Yarrowia lipolytica: one gene and its partner. The protein of the gene in region 1 interacts with the protein of each later gene in a pairwise test. Links are inferred from orthologs where the notes say so. Each region holds a gene or a part of one and is shown on either strand. Other genes may lie near its edges. The genes, in order: YALI1_B07094g and YALI1_F14688g.

What was found.
Region 2: the proteins of YALI1_B07094g (region 1) and YALI1_F14688g interact in a protein complementation assay, tested with the Saccharomyces cerevisiae proteins (2 studies listed by BioGRID). The link is inferred for Yarrowia lipolytica from reciprocal best matches to the Saccharomyces cerevisiae genes ERG11 and STE24.

Annotation. Positions count from the first base shown.
Region 1 is NC_090771.1:707,500-711,645, forward strand, and holds YALI1_B07094g (uncharacterized protein), read left to right. Parts: upstream 1-1,946; coding exon 1,947-3,518; downstream 3,519-4,146. Other genes in the region: YALI1_B07076g (uncharacterized protein), read right to left, coding at 1-179; YALI1_B07134g (uncharacterized protein), read right to left, coding at 3,651-4,146. UniProt on the Saccharomyces cerevisiae protein: Sterol 14alpha-demethylase that plays a critical role in the third module of ergosterol biosynthesis pathway, being ergosterol the major sterol component in fungal membranes that participates in a variety of functions.
Region 2 is NC_090775.1:1,466,771-1,471,218, forward strand, and holds YALI1_F14688g (uncharacterized protein), read left to right. Parts: upstream 1-2,125; coding exon 2,126-2,131; intron 2,132-2,601; coding exon 2,602-3,948; downstream 3,949-4,448. Other genes in the region: YALI1_F14712g (40S ribosomal protein uS15), read right to left, coding at 4,258-4,448. UniProt on the Saccharomyces cerevisiae protein: Proteolytically removes the C-terminal three residues of farnesylated A-factor mating pheromone. Also acts to cleave the N-terminal extension of the pheromone. Does not act on Ras.

The DNA of each region.
Region 1 (4,146 bases):
TCCACAAGTCGCAATTCATCTCGGTCGGGCAGGGAAAGAAGGCCTTCGTCATAGTTGAGACGCTGAAACTCCTCGGACTGCTGAATCAGCATAGCAGTAGACCGAAGCTCCTCCTGAGCAGGAGCTGCGAGGGCCACAGAGCCCAGAATGGCAGAAATAGCGATTGTTGAGAGTTTCATGGTGAGTGGCGAGTGTAGTGTAAGTGGCACAATTAGATTATGCAAGTGCCATATGTATCAGATGTGGGGTGGTGGGTAGAGAGACCCTAATTAGGGAGTGTTAAATCGGGAAACAGCGGTTAGGTTTGACCCAACATCCTGATACGGTAATTTCAAATACCCTGGTCTGTCATCATCTTCCGAAGCTTCAAATATTCTCTTCCTGGACACTTTCCATCTTTATAATAGGCCATGGTCTCAATAAAGGTCACTGGGATTAGATTATGGAATGGCAACCAAGCTCTCAAGGGTTAGGGCAATCTGTCATGAGAGCGTTGACCCTGAAAAGTAAAGGTTGCTCACTACACCGACTTAATACCAAAACAGAATCTTAACTTGTGTCAATGATACTGTAGTGTGTTTGGAAACAACACCTGCGAACATGTTACAAGTACCGTGTACAGTAGCTACTTGTACATGTAAGCAATTCAGCTGATCGATGTTTGAAGTCTACAAGTAGTATGGTACAGCATTTAGGAGATTTAATTGCCGCAATAGTACTACTTGTAGAGTGCCGAAGAAGACGACTGAAATTGTAACTAACCCACAAGTAGAAAGTGAATTAATCCCATAAGTGGCTTTATTAATGAGGAGGGAAGGTAAGTATGATATACTATAGAGATACTAAAAGATGTACAGAGAGGTACTAAATCTTAACTTCGACGAATCAAACAAGTTACTACAAGTACATACTGTACTTGTAGATCAGTACGCCTTAAAAATCATCTTTATTAGTAATCATATGCACTGGCAAATCTCGGATCGGATAATCGGAGTGTCTCCGTAATCTTTGTTGCGATACTTGTACGCGTCAGTAGTTAGCAAGCTCGATACAGTTCATTGTGGATTTACTAAGCGAGCATTTCCATCCCAAGTAACCTTGTGTTTGTTTTATTAGTAATATTCGTGTAAGCGTACATTCATTTCAAAGGTTATTCTTTCACAGCAAAGTTATAATTAAATGAATGTATATGCAGAAAAAAAAGTTTACATACGCAATAACATCAGAAGTCTACAACCATTGTTTCTACAAGTACAAGTGCAAGTACACCCGTAAGGGTTGGCGAGCTCATTCTTAAATCAAGACTACTTGTAGTTGTAGCTATCGTGTACCACGTGGTGTCTTCGTGCGATATCAAATTTCCAGCATAGCCGCGTATGACAAGCACCATCGTTTTTGCATGTTAGGCTAAATTGCAGGCTGTGCACAGGCAGTGATTACTGTACTGTCTTATTGTGGTACGATGAGTGGACATGATATAGTACCACTGCATCTCTCTTGGTACAGAAGCTAACTTTGGCCCCTTACACACATTCCATGACGTGATGATTTCTCCATTTGAAAGGTGGTGTCATACCTTGCATAATCATAGCAGGGGGATCCATGAAGGATACCCCGAGCCAGCCATCGGCCTATATAAAATAACAAAATCCACTGGATCAGGACTGCTGCATCCTCAGGATTCTCACAGTGGTCCAAGTACATATTTTCCGAGCCCGTTACTTTTATTTCTTATTACCCCTATCCCTGGCATTATCGTCCATGTAATTGGACCGTTACATTTAGACACGATACATACGACATTAGCGAGCAGGTTTGGAAGAAAATAAGGTTTCGTGATTGTGGACGAGGTTCCAGAAGAGTTTAATTTATCCTTCCATTTCTACTTCATCTTGTCTGGTGCTCTCAACATCTACAACTGGTCTCTCACTCAAGTCCACCACAACATGATCATTCTCACGACGCTCAACAACATGGGAATTCCCGTGGAAGGCTGGCACATTCTTGCTGGCCTGGCCATCCTTGCTGTCATCACAGAGATCTACGTTATTGGGTCACAACTTCTGGCTCGACGAAACAAGACTCTGGCCCCTATGGCCTTCTACTGGATCCCCTGGGTTGGATCATCTATCCCCTATGGTATCGATCCCTACGAGTTCTTCGAGGACTGCCGAAACCGTTATGGTGACGTGTTTTCCTTCTACATGCTTGGTCGTGTCATGACCGTGTCTCTGGGCACTAAGGGCCACGAGTTTGTCTTCAACTCCAAGCTTGCAGACGTGTCTGCGGAGGAGGCTTACACTCACCTCACCACCCCTGTTTTCGGCACCGGTGTTATTTATGACTGCCCCAACTCTCGACTTATGGAGCAGAAGAAGTTTTGCAAGGGTGCCCTCACTCGTGATGCCTTTCGATCCTACGTTCCCAAGATCGTTGAGGAAGTCACCAACTTTTTTGCAGTTAACTTTGAGGGTAAGACCGGTAAGGCAGATGTCATGACCACTCAGCCTCAGATGACCATCTTCACTGCCTCTCGGTGTCTGCTAGGTGACGAGATCCGATCCAAGCTTAACGGTGACTTTGCCAAGCTTTACTCCGATCTTGATAACGGCTTCACTCCTATTAATTTCGTTTTCCCCAACCTTCCTCTGCCCTCTTATCGAAAGCGTGACCTCGCCCAGCAAAAGATTCGTGATACATACATGTCTGTCATTCAAAGACGACGAATGGAGAAGGACGTCCAGGACCGTGACCTCATCGACGCTCTGCTCAAAAACCATACTTACAAGGATGGTAAGCGAATGACTCCCCAGGAAATTGCCCACCTCCTTATCGGCGTTCTAATGGGCGGTCAGCATACCTCTGCTTCAACTTCTGCTTGGATGCTTCTCCGACTTGGTCTCGACCCTGCTATCCAGGATGAACTCTACCAGGAGCAAGTTGATATTCTTGGTGAGGCTGACGGATCATTCCGACAGCCTACATACGAGGACATTCTGACTATGACCAAGCTGCAGAATACCATCAAGGAGACGCTTCGTCTGCATATGCCCATCCATTCTATCTTCCGACAGGTCATGCGAGATCTGCCTGTCCCCGGTACCTCGTTTGTCGTGCCCAAGGGCCACTTTGTCATGGCCTCCCCTGGTTACTCACAGCAGGCCGAGCGATACTTCCCCAATGCCAAGAAGTTCGATCCTCGTCGATGGATGACTCCTACAGAGAAGATGGCCGAGTCCGAGACCGACGCTGAGGCCGGCGAGACTGTCGATTACGGATTTGGTGCCATCTCCAAGGGTGTCTCCTCCCCTTACCTTCCCTTTGGAGGTGGCCGACACCGATGCATTGGCGAGCAGTTCGCCAACTGCCAGCTCACCACCCTCATGTCTTGCTACATTCAAAACTTCAAGTGGACCGTCCCTGAGGGCTCAAAGCTTCCTGCTGTTGACACCACTTCCATGATCACGCTTCCTGTCCATCCCTCCTATATTGTGTGGAGCAAGCGAGAGCGTAACTAGATTATATGTAAAATAATACCTTCGGACTATATTAATAATAAACGAGTAATTGAACCTGCAGTTACATTAATTTTGACATTGACTATAAAACAAACCCCCGTCTTCTCCTTTCTATATTCGGCTTTTGTTAGTTTAGACCCCATAAACTCTCTTGGCCCCCCAGTAGGAGGCGATAGCAAAGAAAAACAGCGATGCCGTGATTCCCCAGAACCAAACGGTGCCTTTATGTTCTTGTCCAGGAACAATGACGTTCATACCCCATAGACCGGTGACAATGTTCATCGGAAGCACAATAGTACCGAGGACAGTAATCTTACCCAGTACATCGTTTGTATCGTTGTTGATCTTCGTCATATCGATATTGACTTGGGCCAGACAGTTGGAATGCGCTCGAGCAAGAATCTTTTCGAAATGGTTGACAGACTGAACCATAGTCACGATATGGTCCTGAATATCGCCCAGATAAAGGCCGATTTCACTTCGGGGTGCAACCTGCCATTGCTCATTGCACCGCTTCGCGAAGCCCTTGATCACATCAGCTTTGTTTCCAAGAAGCCGAGACAAGGACATGACCTTCTTTCGGGTCTCTCCAATTCGGTACAGATTATCACCCTTATTTTTCAGTCGA
Region 2 (4,448 bases), on another chromosome or scaffold:
CTCATGGCAGGCATGGATCTGCTCACACCTACAGGACGAGTACGATACGACATCAGCTAATACCGGAAGCTCCAAGGGCCCATTTTTCCGATACGAGTAACCTTGACGACCTTGACGACATGGAGGAACAACCTTTGGCGGTTATGCAAAATGTCAGGTGGTAATAATAATGGAGAGGGGCGTGGTGATGAGACAGGTACGACCGCGGCACGTACGAGGGACAAGTGTTTGTACTGTACCTGTCAAACAAGAGACGCTCCAACGGCCGTGTGATCCGTCTATTGTGCGGTATTATTTACCATGTGGACAACGCCATGTGAAAAGAAGGTCCTTTCTCCTCCCCCTTCTCCTCCTTCTCCCCTCCTCCTCATCTGGCTGCCCACTTGTACTTGTTCTCTGTTCGGAACGGACGGGGGAACTGCACTTCGGGGGAGCACCGCTGCCTCACCGTGGCGTACAAGTATCCGCACAAGTAGCAAGAACAAGCACAAGCGGAAGTCAGGCCGTCCGTACATGTGGTGCGCGGAGGGTGAGGCAGACCTCAAACAAGCCAGGGTGCGTCTGGATGGCCATTTCCGGGGTCGGATTGCTTGAAAACAACAAGTAAGTCGTGACGTAATGAGAGACTTGGGCACCAGTGAGGTTACAGAAGGATGTGGAATGCGAGAATGAGTAAGATGCGATACTTTTACAATTCAGGACAACAGCTCCAGTCATTGTACGGTATGTACTGTACTCGTCTTGTATCAAGACCACGACAGCGACTGTCGTACTTGTACAGTATTACAAGTCACTTTGACCAGAATCAATCGTCTACGAGTGAGATGTACAGTATGAGTATGTACAGTACTTGTACCGCACGAGTACTTGTACCGCACTAGTACTTGTACCATACTCGTACCTCCAATCTCGAATGAGGGTGAAACGCCAAACAACCAGACCGACCCGTCAGGATACACAGTGTACGATACACTACACATTTGCCATACACACAGAAAACTCGGCAAAGACGCGCCTTGCTATGTCCTTGTGGAGTCGTATCCACGATATTTGCTCACTTGACGCAAACATTTACTCTCTGCACTCGACTAAAACGTCCAAACCTGCAACCTCTGCAACCCCAGCATCAAAAGTCACACCACCGGACGGATAGGGTTTCATTGTCGGAGGTGGAGAGCCTCGGAACGGAGATACGTCTGCTTACGTCACAGCCGACGGAGTTTACTGGAGATGGTGTCCTCTCAAGTATGCACCAATCCCTCTGAGCCGTCTACAAGTGCATGTGTTTGGTTGTATTGCACGAGTGTACGAGTAACGCTACAGCTACAGTACAACCTGTAAAGTAGTGGTTATGTACATACTCACCTTCATGACTCTCAGTGGAATTATGTCGACCTTCACGTGGGTTATTCGATATTAATCATCACCATGGTGATAATAATGACAGGAATGTCAATACAAGACCGTATAGACAAACCTCCGATCAGCTCATATGTACATCTCCCCAGCTTCGGAAAAATATTACTCCGGCTGCGAGAAATGTACGAAATTACGGTGGTGCACGAGTACAGGACTGATCCACTTGTGTTATTTTACTTGATTATTACTTGTATATATTATCATCAGCAATGACTGTCTGTACTGCAAGGACACAAGAAAACTTGCACAATTACTCGAAATATCAACAATCACGGACCACGCCATTCATTGAGAGCCACGTGCGGAAAGAGCCGTACCAACGGGGTATGAGCATTCCCTATTTCCCTTCATTATAGGGTTGATTTGGGGGTCGGAGCGTACACACGATGCCACCGTCAAAAGTGACCCTTTTTGTAACCAAAAAGGCACAAATCACATTTGGGTGCTACTCACGTGATTTACATACCTTCCAACTCCTTTTCAAAACCAATTTTCGTCCGTTCGAGCACTCTCTGGCGCTTTTCGAGCCACCCCACAGTACCGTTTTTCCGGACTTTATTTTAAAATATATCGTAAAAAGCTGGACCTATCGAAGTCCCCCCCAGTAATCAATGGGAAAATAAAGTTGCCTGAATAAACCACAATTGCCTATCTGGGCCTGCATGAATCCTCACAACACGCTGTTCTATTCCCCACCAACCACACGATGGAAGTGAGTATTTGCGCCAGACGGGCGTTTGCACCGACTACAAACACGACACACACACGTTGACGCGCCCCAACAGGCCCCAGGCGCGTTTCTACCGCCAAATTGACACTCTCCGCGATGGACTGCATGATGCCGGCGGCGTGGCGAACCTCACGACACAATGTGAGCCAAATCGAGCCAGTCGTCAAGATCAGTTGCCAGTGCCAGACCTGAATGCTGCAAAGATTTCGGTTGTGTGAGATACAGTTGAGCCAGCGTTTCTGATGGGATTGTGTCGCTAGTTGAAGTGGTGTTGTCAGTTGGTGGAGTATGATGCGGTCGGATACTAATTGTTATTGGTGGTCGTGTCGCTGGAAGCTGGCTCTATACGACCTGCTATATGATGCCACCTGTGCGACTGGCTGGCTCTATACCCTCATCTGAATTACTCAGTTGTCACTCTGACCATTCTCCTCCGTTCCGTACTAATCCAGCACCTTCGAAAACTCGACAGCCCCAACGTCCCATGGAGACAGATCATTGTGGGCACCGCCATTGGCGACTACCTGCTTGAGTCTTACCTTAACTACAGACAGTACCAGGTCTACAAGCGAACCGAGGTGCCTGCCAGCCTGCAGGGTATTGTCTCCCAGGAGAAGCTGACTGAATCCAACGACTACTCCATGGCCAAGATGCGGTTCTCCTTCGTCCACTCCACCTACTCCCTTGTCAATTTCCTTGCCACCATCCATTTCAACGTCATCCCCAAAATCTTCCATGTCACCAAGATGGGCTTCACAAAGAGAATCGCCCCCAAGCTTGCCGGTGCCACCTTCTTTGGTGCCAAGACCCTCCACAAGCTCGCCCTGTCAACCCCCGTTCACACCGCCTTTGCTTTCAACGTCTTTGGCCTCGTTAGCTCCCTGCTGGAGCTGCCTTTCTCTTACTACAAGAATTTTGTGCTGGAGAAGAAGTACGGCTTCAACAAGATGACCCCCAAGACCTTTGTTCTCGACTTCTTCAAGGAGCAGGCCCTCTCTTTTACCATCCAGGGTCTGTACATTGGCATCTTTGAGAAGATTCTGATCAAGTTTGGTCTGTCTTTCGTCCCCTACTTTACTGGCTTTGTTGTGGTTCTCCAGATTGTGCTTATGTACGCCGTTCCTACTCTGATCATGCCCATGTTCAACAAGTTTGAAAAGCTTGAGGACGGCGAGCTCAAGGACCGATCCGAGGCTCTTGCCAAGAAGCTGGACTTCCCTCTTTCCGACCTTTATGTCATTGACGGCTCTACCCGATCCGCTCACTCCAATGCCTTCTTCACCGGTTTGCCTTGGAAGAAGCAGATTGTCCTGTACGACACTCTGATCGAGCAATGCTCCACCGACGAGATTGAGGCCATTCTTGGCCACGAGCTCGGTCACTGGAAGATGAACCATATCCTGCAGACGCTGCTTGCCGGCAACGCAAACATTCTGACTCTGACTCTTGGATTCCTGGCGTTTGCTCACAACGACTCTTTTTACACCTCTCTCGGCTTCTTCAGCAACGACCGACCCGCCGCCTACCTGTTCAACACCCTTTATCTGCAGGTCATCAGCCCCATCCAGTACGGTGTCACCTTCCTGATGAACGGCATGTCTCGAAAGAACGAGTTTGAGGCCGACCAGTTCTCCAAGGACCTTGGCTATGGCGATGCTCTGGCCAAGAGTCTGATCACCATCCACCAGGAGAACCTCAGCAACTACGACGGCGATTGGCTGTACAACTCGTACCACCGATCCCATCCTCTGCTGCTGGAGCGACTTGAGGCGATTGGCTACAAGCCCAAGGCTCAATAAGTGCGCACTGTCGCACGGACTGAAGGAGATGTATAGTATGTAGTATAGTATAGTAAATAGTGATTCAACCGAATTATTGAAGAATGTAAAGTACAAGTAGTGGAGATTCTTTTAGGTCGACTCGACCGGAGGTTCTGGTATCCTCACATGTTTACTTCCTCTCATGGTTGTTCGGACGTTGTTCTCACTTCTTTTACAGCATGGTAGATAGAGTCGGAAACACTCGAACTACGTTCTCGTATTTCGTCCTGATGATAAATAGGCGCTAATGCATTTTCATTTTTATGTAAAGTACAACCACTAAACACTCTAGTTGACAAGAGCGGAAGCAGTGGCGGACTCGTACTTCCAGGTGGGGGGCAGAACACCAACAGACTTGTAGTATCGGGCAAGTCGGTGGATTCGAGACTCGATGAGAATGAGTCGGAACTTGGAGTCGGCGTCCTTTCGGTTCTTGTCGAGGTGCTTTCGCACAGACACAGCCTTCTTGATAAGGTGGT